Oryctolagus cuniculus: one gene and its partners. Each later gene encodes a partner of the first gene's protein in a complex. Links are inferred from orthologs where the notes say so. Each region holds a gene or a part of one and is shown in the gene's direction. Other genes may lie near its edges.

Region 1 (4,245 bases):
GCCTGACTTTCTTCTCCTTCAAGAGCCAGCTTACATGCTCTTAAAAAAAAAAATGTTTTCCCCCATTTTATTTGAAAGGTAAGTAGAGATATCGTCCATCCACTGGTTCACTCCTCCAATGCTCACAACAGTCGGGGCTGGGCCAAGCCAAAACCAGGAGCCCAGAACTCCATCCGCACCTCCCCTCGGCGGCAGGGGAACAATTACTGAAGCCATCCCCGCTGCCTCCCCGGGTGCACATTAGCAGGAAGCTGGACCGAGGACCACAGCCGAGATTCGAACTCAGGCTGGGCCCCAGGCTGCTCTGTTGCTGCTTGGATCTCTGCTGTTCCGGGCAGGGACGCGTACTCAGTGCAGGGAATAGAGTTGGGTGCCCAGCCTCTCCCCCAGGTCCTGTGCTGTCCTTTGTTGCACGTCCCTAAGGTCCTGGCTGTATCACTTCGCGGCTCTGTAACCTCCCGCAAGCCGCCCACCCGGCTTTGCCTCTGGTTACGGGGCGACCAGCTGCGTCCACTCCCTGGAGTGAGGATTACATGGGGCCCTGCCTATAAAGGCCCAGCTCCGGGTCGCCTGCTTCCCAGCCAGCAGGTGTCCCTGAGCGCCACTGTCCGAGGCGCCACCCCCCACCCCGGACCTCCTCGTGGACGCCACAGTCGGCCCCAAGACCACTTCTCGGGGTGGGTGGGAGCCCAGTGGGTGTGCAGGGGCGGGAACGGGGCTGCCCCGGAGGCCAGACCCGACCGGGCGCGGTCCCGCGGCCAGACCAGACTCCGGCCAGCGCGGGCGGGTCCGACCCGGCCCTCAGGACGCGCGGCCTCCCGGCCTCTCCCCAAAAGCGAATTTGTTTGCTTTTTGTGGGGTGGAGGGCTCCTCTCAAGCCAGATCCCTAGCGTGGACTCCGGGACGCTCTCCATGGCTCAGCCGCCATCACGGCGCCCCCTCCTCAGGCTCTGCAGTCCCCACCCCGGGTCTCCTCCCCTCACCTCCCACCTCCACCTCTGCGGCGGTAAAATGCAGCACTCGCACGGCGCCTGCGCGGCTCCCGGGCGGGGCGGCGGCGGCGGCTATTTATAGTAGGTGACGTCACCTTGAAATAGACCGTTAGGGCTGGCCTGCCCTTCCCCCCCTCCCACTCCCGCCGCCCGGCGCGGCGGCTCCCAGTGCGCAGGCGTCGCCCCGTCCTCCCCTCCCCCGCTCCCCCCCGCGCGGCTGCCTCTCCTCCCTCAGCGGCGTCCTCGGCGAGAGCCAGAGCGCGCGGGGCGAGCCAGCGAGAGGGCGCGAGCCGCGGCGCTGCCTGCAGCCTCGGGCCGGCCGGCGAGCCAGTGCGCGTGCGCGGCGGGCTTCCGCGGAGACCGGGCAGCGGACGGGCGGGCGAGCGAGCGAGCCGTGTGGGGCGCGAGGCGAGGCCGAGCCGCGAGCGACATGGGGGACCGTGAGCAGCTGCTGCAGCGGGCGCGGCTGGCCGAGCAGGCGGAGCGCTACGACGATATGGCCTCCGCCATGAAGGCGGTGAGCGCGCCGGGAGCCCGCGCGTGGCCGGCCGGGGGGCCCGGCGTGGAGGAGGCGGGATGGGGCGGCGGGCGCTGGGTCCCGCTCCGGGCGACCCTGCTGGGCGCGGCCGCCCGCCCGCCATTTCCTGACACCGGGCTCTGGGTGGGGTGGGGTGGGGTGGGGTCCCCGGGGAGGGAACCGCTCAGGGTCGCGAAGGCAGGGGGACCGGGCGGGCGGGCGGGGGTCGCTGCATCCTCAGCCGTGAGGGAAACGGGAGGGAGCCGCAGCCCTTCTAGACGCTTCTACGGGATCTGGGGGCTCACACCTCCTTCCCGCCTTTCTCCAAGGCCCTCACTTGTTTCCAAAAAAAAAAAAACAAAAAACCAAAAAACCACCTTGGGGAGTGGGGCCCTGCCCTGGGTTTCTCAGCCACGATCTGAAACCTGTGCAATCCGAAATTCCTTTCGGCTCTGCTTGCCTGGATCGTGCTTTGCCTACCTTCGCACGCCCGGGGTCTGGCTTTGTGTGCGAAGACCCCCCTCCCTGCATTCCAGGCGGGTGGACGCGGGCTCGGGGTGGAGGGTGGGGAGCGGGGCGGGGGGAGGCCGTGGCGCCCCAGGTTGGGTGTCGCGCCCTCTGCCTGGAGGCTGAGCCTGCTTGCAGGCAGGGGACAGGCACCCGTGTGCCTTTTGCTTCCCCGAGGCCATCACAGGTCCCCATTCTGCAGCTCCATTTCCGGGGAAGGAGTGGTGGCCGGCCACACCCTAGCACATACCGTGGATTTAGACACCACCTGCGGTTCTGAGACTCCCGAGTTCCGGTTACCAGCTCGCTGTCCCTGGCGCTTCGTGTTATCTTACATTGTCTCCAAATGAACGCTGCTTCTCCCTGGCTCAAGGTCACACGGCCAGGAGAGCTGCGTGCTGGGTTCATCCAGCGTACGACCTGGGAGGAGCCTCCTTGAACTCCACGATCTTGATACCTCCCAAAGAGTCAGAAATTCTGGGGCTGAGACTCCGAAAAAATGCATCTTAGCCAGCTTGGTAGGCAGGCTTTAGTTGGCTTAAGCTGGATGGGAGCGCCTGTGTCGTTTTGCTGGCTTTTGGAAGAGATTTCTTAAAAAAAAAAAAAGGCAAATTTATAAGCTCCCCAATATTTTAGAATCATTGAAAAAGCTCATTTTAAGGCTTTTGATAATAGCGGGTGACATAGGTAGCTGAGACCAGTATTTCGGATTTTCCAAGTGAGAAAGACAAGTAGGTGAGTTACCCTTCTATGATGTCCTTGTCACTGTCACGCGTTTAGCTGCATGGGTTGGGAAGCCCGCAGCCCACAACGCATTGGTGCATTGGTGAACCTGTATGCTATTGTGCTGAGCTAGGAGCCCTTCATGCAAACAAGGGAACCGCCTAGATGGGGGGGGGGGGAGTCTGATCTTAAATTCTGGGGGCTTTTAAAAAAAATGAATCTAAAGTACAGCGTTCGCAAATCTTACAGAAACGATAGTGACTATGAGAGCATGTCCATGAAGGGACCCGAAAGCTTGATTTTGGGTGTGAGGGGCTGTAATTCTGCCTCTGTTCCTGCATCAAGTCACATTTAGAGGGGCTGGTTCTCCGCTCTGCCTGCCTGCTACTGGGGTTAATGCTGCCCGGGGCCTTTGCCCGCCTTGTGAGCTGCAGTATTAGGAGTCCTTTGGGAAATGGAGATTTGGAAAGAAGGGATGGGGCCTGAAGGTGAATTGAGGTTAAGGAAAAAACAGCTGGAAGGTACATTCTGGGAACCTGAGGCAGCCTGCGTTGGGAAATAGGAAAGAAGGGGGAGAGGTGTTCTCAGAACAAAATTGAGTTTTGAGTAAGAGAAAAAAATTGGCCTCCTGATCTAGATAAGCAGGCTTGAAAAATGCTTTCCTGCTGCAGCTGCCACTGCTTCTATGGCCGTGGCTGGAGGCGTTAAGATAGGGTTTTGCAAATAATGGACCCTTGAGCATGTCAGGAATCCGTAATGCCCATCTCTGAAATGATGGGTGGGTTGGAAAAGCCATCCAGCCTGGAGAATTCCACCAAGCTGCAATTATGTCATCTCGGAATTGTGATAAACTGTTCCCTCAGGGTGACTCCTGTGAAAGAACTTTTTTTTTTTTTTTTTTTTTTTTTGTCAATTTGCCTTGTGAAAAAAATATTTTATCTCGTTAATGGAACATCAGAAAGGATTTGGCAGGGTCCTTGGAGAGCACTTTCTTGTTTTCTATTGTTAAATTGTAGGTTGGATTCTTAATGTTGCTGGGGCCATCGGTCCCCATATTATTAGCATAGCCCCTAACCAGGGCTTGTGCAGAGTGACTTGGCAGGAAGCACCTGGGTTTATGCGGGCTTTCGTCAGGGAGGTGGAAGGGCAGGTAAGTGGACTAGGGAGGATGGAGCGGAACACCGGAGCCAGGGGGAGCCGCCCATGGCTCCTCTGACCTTGAAACTTGCGTCTCCGGGCATCGAGTAGAAAACCTGGTCATGGTGTTACTGACAAGTCTGTTTCAGTCTAACTTGTTCTGTCTCCTTCTAATTGAAACGGTCGCTTGGTAATACTGCCTGCCTGTAACGACTGATCCTTGTTCTACCAGCGTCACCTGGAGATACAGCGTGGGTAAGCTGTAAGAAGAATGCATACTGGAATCAACGGGGTGGCCTCAGATCGGCTCCGAATTAGAATTCTCTGCCTCACCTCTTAATTTGAAGAGGTCAGGAAATACATCGGGGG
Region 2 (2,708 bases), on another chromosome or scaffold:
TACCAAAGTTGTAAGCTAATGAATGAAGCCTCTAATTCTGATTCTTTTGTCTGTTTTCATCTTGTTTCCAGGGACCGAATGGAGTCAATCATCTGGTGCTGCCTCTCCAGGTCTTTTCCAGGCTGGTCACAGACGCACTCCCTCTGAGGCTGACCGCTGGTTAGAAGAGGTGTCGAAGAGTGTCCGGGCTCAGCAGCCCCAGGCCGCGGCTGCCCCTCTGCAGCCAGTTCTCCAGCATCCTCCACCCACTGCCATCTCCCAACCAGCACCACCTTTCCAAGGGAATGCATTCCTTACCTCTCAACCTGTGCCAATGGGTGTGGTCCCACCCCTGCAGCCAGCCTTTGTCCCTGCCCAGACCTATCCTGTGGCCAATGGGATGTCCTATCCGGCCCCTAATGTGCCTGTGGTGGGCATGACTCCCTCCCAGATGGTAGCCAACATGTTTGGCACTGCAGGCCATCCCCAGGCTGTGCTCCCCCATCAGTCACCCAGCTTGGCCAAGCAGCAGACATTCCCGCAGTACGAGTCAAGCAGTGCTACTGCCAGTCCCTTCTTTAAGCCTCCTGCTCAGCACCTCAACGGCTCTGCAGCTTTCAATGGTGTAGACAATGGCAGGTTGGCTTCAGGAGACAAGCACACGGAGATTCCTGCAGGCACCTGTACAGTGGATCCTTTTGAAGCTCAGTGGGCTGCATTAGAAAGCAAGTCCAAGCAGCGTACTAATCCCTCCCCTACCAACCCTTTCTCCAGTGACTTGCAGAAGACATTTGAAATTGAACTTTAAGCAATCTCTATGGTTCATGTATCTTGTCCATACTTAGGCGAAGGGGTAGAAAGGTCAAAGGAGCCTTTGTCTTCCTGATCAGGACACTTTTCACTAACCCCAAAAAGTCCCCAGGAACAAGTCCAGGCACAGAGTACAGTGAGGGATGATTTTGAAAGAAGAGGGGAAAACCATTCCTAGAGAAGCCTGTCTTGGAAGTAGGCTAAAGAAATCAAGGGCGTGCCCTCTGTACCCTCTCCTCCCTCGTGCCCTTACAGATCTCTGGTGGCAGAGAGGCAGAAGTATCTGAATAGAAATCTACATTCAAAGCACATTTACTGGGATATGAAACACAATGGGAAGCAAAACAGTCTCCCTTTTGTTTTCCAGGCCATTCACCTGCCTCCTCTCAGTACTGGTCTGTCTTAGAGACGAGAACAGAGCGTTTGTGCTCTAGCTGGGAACAGAGAGGCTGTGCTGCCAGAATTCCTGGGAGGCCACATCAGCAACTGCCCAGCAGAGCTATACTGTGGGGGTAAAGTTAAGCTTCCATTTTGGGTAACAGAATTAAATATTATAAATATATATATATATATCAAAAAGCCAAAATCTTTATTTTTATGCATTTAGAATATTTTAAATAGTTCTCAATATTAAAAACTTGTATGAGTTGTAAGTAATCTTGCCAAAAGTAAAAGGGTTAGTTGTAAGAAATTGTATATAAGATTGATTTATCATTGATGCCTATTGAAATAAAAAGAGCGTCAGAAGTCACAGATGGATCCCTAGCTTGTTTGAGATTGAATTCATTGTGAGTAGCACGCTGCAGCAACAATCATGCTTGTGACCAACACCGTCACTAGGCTGTAGTTTTAAAGACAGTGAAACAGCAGTATTGTCCTGGTTTTAAAACTGATGAAAATGTAATGTCATTATTTTAATGCAATCAATCTAAATATGCTCTATAGAGAATATTATCTTTTATATATTGCTGCAATTTCCTTATGTTAGTCCTTTAACACTAAGGTGACAATGACATAATCACATCCGTAGAAGGGAATGCAGGTTCCTGTCTTGGTTTGTAATGTCAGTCCTGGTGGGTTTTGTTTTGTCCTTTAAATTTTTTTCCTCCAGGTTTTGTGGGGATGGGAATTCTGGTTTTGGTAGCTTTGTGTGTCCGCTGCCCCCCCTTTTGGTGAGCAGAACGTCCCATTGCCAGCTGACCTCGGGTAATGTGTAATCCCATCTCATTTTTACTTTTGAACGTTGGCCTTACAATCAAATGTAAGTTATATATATATATTTGTACTGATGAGAATTTATAATCTGCTTTAACAAAAATAAATGTTCGTGGTAGAAGCTCTTGCCCATAAAGGGCTGGTGTTTCCCCTTTCCTGTATTGGCAAATGAGTTTACTTTTCTTCTTAATTCTGCTGCTGCTGCAGGTCCCTAGTATTACAGAGTCTTTTATTGGGATTAGTATATCCTTAAAATTTGAATTTTCATTCATACTTTAGGTTTGTTTGATTCTGAGTAGATCTCTCTCAAGTCAGATTCTTGCTGCTCAAAATGTGGTATGAACAGCAGCATGGACTTGATGTGGGAGCTGGTTAGAATCCCAGGCACACCTCAGGGCTTCAAGCAGCGCTTTTCAACCTTGGCCACATGTTAGAATCATCTTGGAAACTTAAAATCCCAATGCCTGTCCTACACACCAGACCAGTTAGAATATGGAGGGAGGGAGCAGCCCCAGCTTCAGGGTTTGTCTTAAGTTCCCAGTATGGGAAAGGATTGAGAACCACAGGTCTAGAGTTTTATTCTCCCTCTAACTTTAAGGCACTGTTCCATGACTAGTTCTGAGCAGGCCACCTGCAACCAGCAGGCCAGCCTCGACTTCCTGAAGTGTGTCTATGTGACAGCAGGTAAAATTCTAGTTTCATTA
Region 3 (3,646 bases), on another chromosome or scaffold:
AGTTACACTGCACCGACTGATGAGAAATGTCGGGACGGGAAGGGTGTGCGGGTTCAGTACAGGCTCAGACGTTTGTCCAGAGCATGTGCTGCCTGCAGTAGGCGGAACCCGTGGGTGTAGAACCCGTCGGCACCGAGGACCGAGTATTTTCTCCCCTAAATTTCTACGATGAGAAGCATTTTATTTGAAATGGTAGGCGTCGGCCTCGTGGCCCTAGTGCTGGTTATGACTCTGTGCGTGGTGACATCAAGGGGAAGGTGGTGCCTGGATTTGCACAGCTTTCCAGGCTGGTGTCCATGGGTGGGTCCCAGAGGGACGGCAGAGCAGGGTGCGGGTGTCCCAGACAGATAAGCGCCTCCCTGCCCAGCCTGGCCTCTTCAGCTCCTTTTTTAAGTCCCCATGTTTTTGGCCTCTTCCAAAGAAATCCCGTGCCTCCCTTCTGATAACTATAAAATTTAATTTTCAGAAGCAAGATGCATCAGAACTTGGGTCTCTAGTCCTGACGGATGTGTCCGGCTCTTTGCTCCGCTAAACATAATCTCTTGATGGGTGAACTTGAGATGGAAGCAAGGTCGCCCTTTCCCACTGGTGCTGCCACATGAAGAGTAATCAGTCATAAGCAGCCATGAAATCGCTGGCCTTTGGTGATGGCATCATGAAATGTGTCCATCTTAACAATCCAGGGCCTCATTAGGTTTTCTCTCTCATATGCAGAACCCATTTCCTGAGAAATCTGAACAAATTGTGCTTGTCATCCTTCTGATAGTAGGATGTTACTGCTCCCTATGCAGAGTGACTTCGTGGTGGTGACTGTGGCTTGATCTTTGTCGTTGCAGACATACCAAGTGGACCTGAAGCCCAATGGCTCAGAGATAATGGTGACGAATGAAAACAAAAGGGAATATATCGAGTACGTATGCACACGTGTAGGCCTCTCCTTGTGCCAGGTGGAATGCTCCGTGGGCGGGTGGTGACTGGCCAGTTTCCACAGGCCAAGTTCCTCTCGGGGTGCACTGTGGGAGGTTCGTGGCAGGGTGGAAAGCTGGCCCTGCAGCATGGCGGCCGTGAGCTGCCGTGGGAAGGGATCGGGGAGAAGTTGCACGCCTCCTTGAGTAACACAGCAGGCACTCTTGGACAATGGGCATCTCATCTGAAGTTCGGTGTCAGTGCCCAGCAGGGCGAAACTGGGGGCCGCCCAAGGTGAGATGTTTTCTCTCCGTCCCTACTTCACTTCCATAGTAAATAGAGAGGAAAATAGTTAAAACGGGCAGGAAGAACGCGTGTGCGAGGGTAATGAGCTATTCTGTAGCTGTACTTTCCTAACCCCGTCTCAGCCTCGGCTGGGAAATCAGACTGTTGAGTCCTTTTGGGGCTCTGCTGTGGGGTAATCCGAGGACGTTGGCACCAGCAGAAGGTCTTTATCTGACCGCCTCACGTTTTCCTCCTTGGGAACTGCATGAGGGATATTCCAAAAGTGCATGGTCATGGACAATGCATATTATGAAAAATCCAGACATGGGTTTCAAAAAATTTGGCACCTGAATAAACGTGATGTTTCATTCCACTTTCCACGACCGTGGTTCAGACACGCGGTCCTGGGCCGTCCTAGGGCTTGCCAGGCTGCAGGGTGGGAAGTACAGCAGCGCTGAGCCCTGCACCGGGCGGCTCAGAGCCTGAGTGCCTGTCTGCATCCCGGGCTCCAGTCCAGCCAGCCAGGTTCCCCCCGGACTCCCCTCTGAAACTGCCCAGAGCCCTTCTGTCCAGGGGATGGGCTGGGGGTTGGCTCAGCGTCACCTGGCGTGAGCTGCAGAGAAAAACCCTGTCCTGCCGAATTAGGAAGAAAGGGAGAGCGTCGAGGCTCCTCTCGGAGACCCCGGCAGGGCGAGCCCATGACATAGCCGCCTGTTGCGCTGACGACTGGAGGTGAGACCTGCAGTCCTTACCTGTCCATGCTCATTGCCACACTTGCCTGAACTTGGACGGTCTCGCATGTGACACCCTGGGAGACGGCACTGTCTGCAGAATGTGCAGGCCGGGAATAGATTTTTAAAATTGCTGCAGCCACAGGTGACCAGGAGTTAAGTCTGAGGAATCCCACGTGTGTTGGGCACCGCGCTTCGCGGTTAATTGTTTTTGGGCTGTAACGTGAGGGCCAGGCAGGGTTTCAGCGCACTTCCCTGAGAGTAGTGGTTCGACAGGCCGCCTGACACCTGCCATCCCGCGGCCCTGGGTGGGGGAGGCCTGCACTCCTGCCAGTCAAAGCCTCCTACGGTTGAGCCAGGGTCACACTGCCGGCTGCTGCTCGGGGCTGTGGTCATGGCGCCACCACAGCAGGGAGAGCCCTTTGTAACAGTGGTGCACCCGAAGTGGAACCCAGAGTGGACGCGTGTGCAGCAGATGATGCTGTGTAGACAGTATTGTCACAGAGAGACTGTTAAAGAGGGCTCAACACTCGCCTGCCGAAGTGGATACTAAAGTAGCAGCGTGCAGCTGTATCACCGGGAAGACTTGGAGTGTAGGGACTGCAGCTACTCGAAAGAAACCTCAGGAGCAGAATACATGGTGCTGGGTTTCCCCTTTACACACGAGAGTGTGTGTGTGTGTGTGTGTGTGTGTGCGCGCGCACCTGTGTATTTGAACGTGCCTGTGGCTGTGTGTGCTTTGACACATCCCTGTCTACTCAGCCAGGGGCCTTTCTCTCCTCCACGTGGTCACGTCCGTGAAGCAGCTAGGACCAGCTGCGCCTTGGTGGGCTAGGGAGGCAGGGGGTCAGTTATGCTTTGACCGTTTCCATGAGACTTTGAGATGTCTCGCAGATGCTCCGGCGATCTCAGACTGCACGGTGGGGTCCCAGCTGTCGACCCTCCCTTCGGCTGCGTTCCTGGGGCGGGGGGGGGGGGGTCTCTCTCCCTCCCTGTCCCGTGTAGCAGTTGCAGCTGAGGAGGAAGGAGGGGGTGGCGGCAGTGTCCATGGCTGAACCTGCCCTGTTCTCCCCTGCAGCTTGGTCATCCAGTGGAGGTTCGTGAACCGGGTCCAGAAGCAGATGAACGCCTTCCTAGAGGTGAGCTGTGCAGGAGACGTGGGGAAACCGAGGCAGGGTGGGAGTGGGGCAATGCAGGGAGGCTGGGACGTCACAGCTCACGCTGGCCAGCTGCCGGGCCAGAGGGCTCGGCTGTTTTACCACCACCTTTTTTTAAAATTTTTTTCATGTTAAAGGCTCTCATCTTTGGCTTCTCTCATTTTTTAACTTAATAAAGAGGGCTTTTTACAGAGCTGATGCGGAGCTGTTGACTTGGCACTCCAGGGTGGCCCCCAGGAGAGGGCTGCCCATGGCGACAGGTCTTAGGGAGAGCAGGGTCCCGACGAGCTGTCCCTCCCTGTCCCTTCCTTGCTGTCTGAATTCCTCAGATTCTCTCCTGTAACAGCTGCATGAAAAGCAGTTTCTCAACTCGAGGTTTTATTTCGAATCCAGCCGCCTCGTGTGGGAGAGAAGCCAGCACTTCCCAGGTCCAAGTGTTTGAAGTCAGGGCTGCCCCCGGCCCTGCCTGGAGGCCCCCAGCATGGGGCGATGGACTTGTCATTTCTGGGTGTTCTCGCTTTGGCCGAGAGTGAGATTGCTTCATCAGGGAGGATGGCACGGGGGACG

The links.
Region 2: the proteins of YWHAH (region 1) and NUMB are in contact, whole or in part, in a crystal structure (PDB 5YQG), measured with the Mus musculus proteins. The link is inferred for Oryctolagus cuniculus from reciprocal best matches to the Homo sapiens genes YWHAH and NUMB. Residues at the interface, in NP_035868.1 of Mus musculus: Arg57, Arg132, Tyr133, Leu177, Asn178, Val181, Glu185, Ile222, Leu225, Asn229; in NP_001129547.1 of Mus musculus: Gln274, Gly275, Ser276, Phe277.
Region 3: the proteins of YWHAH (region 1) and NEDD4L are in contact, whole or in part, in a crystal structure (PDB 7NMZ), measured with the Homo sapiens proteins. The link is inferred for Oryctolagus cuniculus from reciprocal best matches to the Homo sapiens genes YWHAH and NEDD4L. Residues at the interface, in NP_003396.1 of Homo sapiens: Arg12, Glu15, Asn39, Asn43, Leu44, Ser46, Val47, Lys50, Arg57, Lys125, Arg132, Tyr133, Gly174, Leu177, Asn178, Val181, Tyr184, Glu185, Leu221, Leu225, Asp228, Asn229, Leu232, Trp233; in NP_001138439.1 of Homo sapiens: Pro444, Arg445, Ser446, Leu447, Ser448, Ser449, Pro450, Thr451, Val452, Thr453, Leu454, Ser455.

What each region holds. Positions count from the first base shown.
Region 1 is NC_091452.1:25,023,270-25,027,514, forward strand, and holds the start of YWHAH (14-3-3 protein eta), read left to right. Parts: upstream 1-1,422; coding exon 1,423-1,509; intron 1,510-2,266; exon of another isoform or gene 2,267-2,883; intron 2,884-4,245. UniProt on the Homo sapiens protein: Adapter protein implicated in the regulation of a large spectrum of both general and specialized signaling pathways. Binds to a large number of partners, usually by recognition of a phosphoserine or phosphothreonine motif.
Region 2 is NC_091451.1:19,419,679-19,422,386, reverse strand, and holds the end of NUMB (protein numb homolog), read left to right. Parts: intron 1-71; coding exon 72-787; 3' UTR 788-2,125; downstream 2,126-2,708. UniProt on the Homo sapiens protein: Regulates clathrin-mediated receptor endocytosis. Plays a role in the process of neurogenesis.
Region 3 is NC_091441.1:19,988,538-19,992,183, reverse strand, and holds part of NEDD4L (E3 ubiquitin-protein ligase NEDD4-like), read left to right. Parts: intron 1-836; coding exon 837-910; intron 911-3,000; coding exon 3,001-3,061; intron 3,062-3,646. UniProt on the Homo sapiens protein: E3 ubiquitin-protein ligase that mediates the polyubiquitination of lysine and cysteine residues on target proteins and is thereby implicated in the regulation of various signaling pathways including autophagy, innate immunity or DNA repair.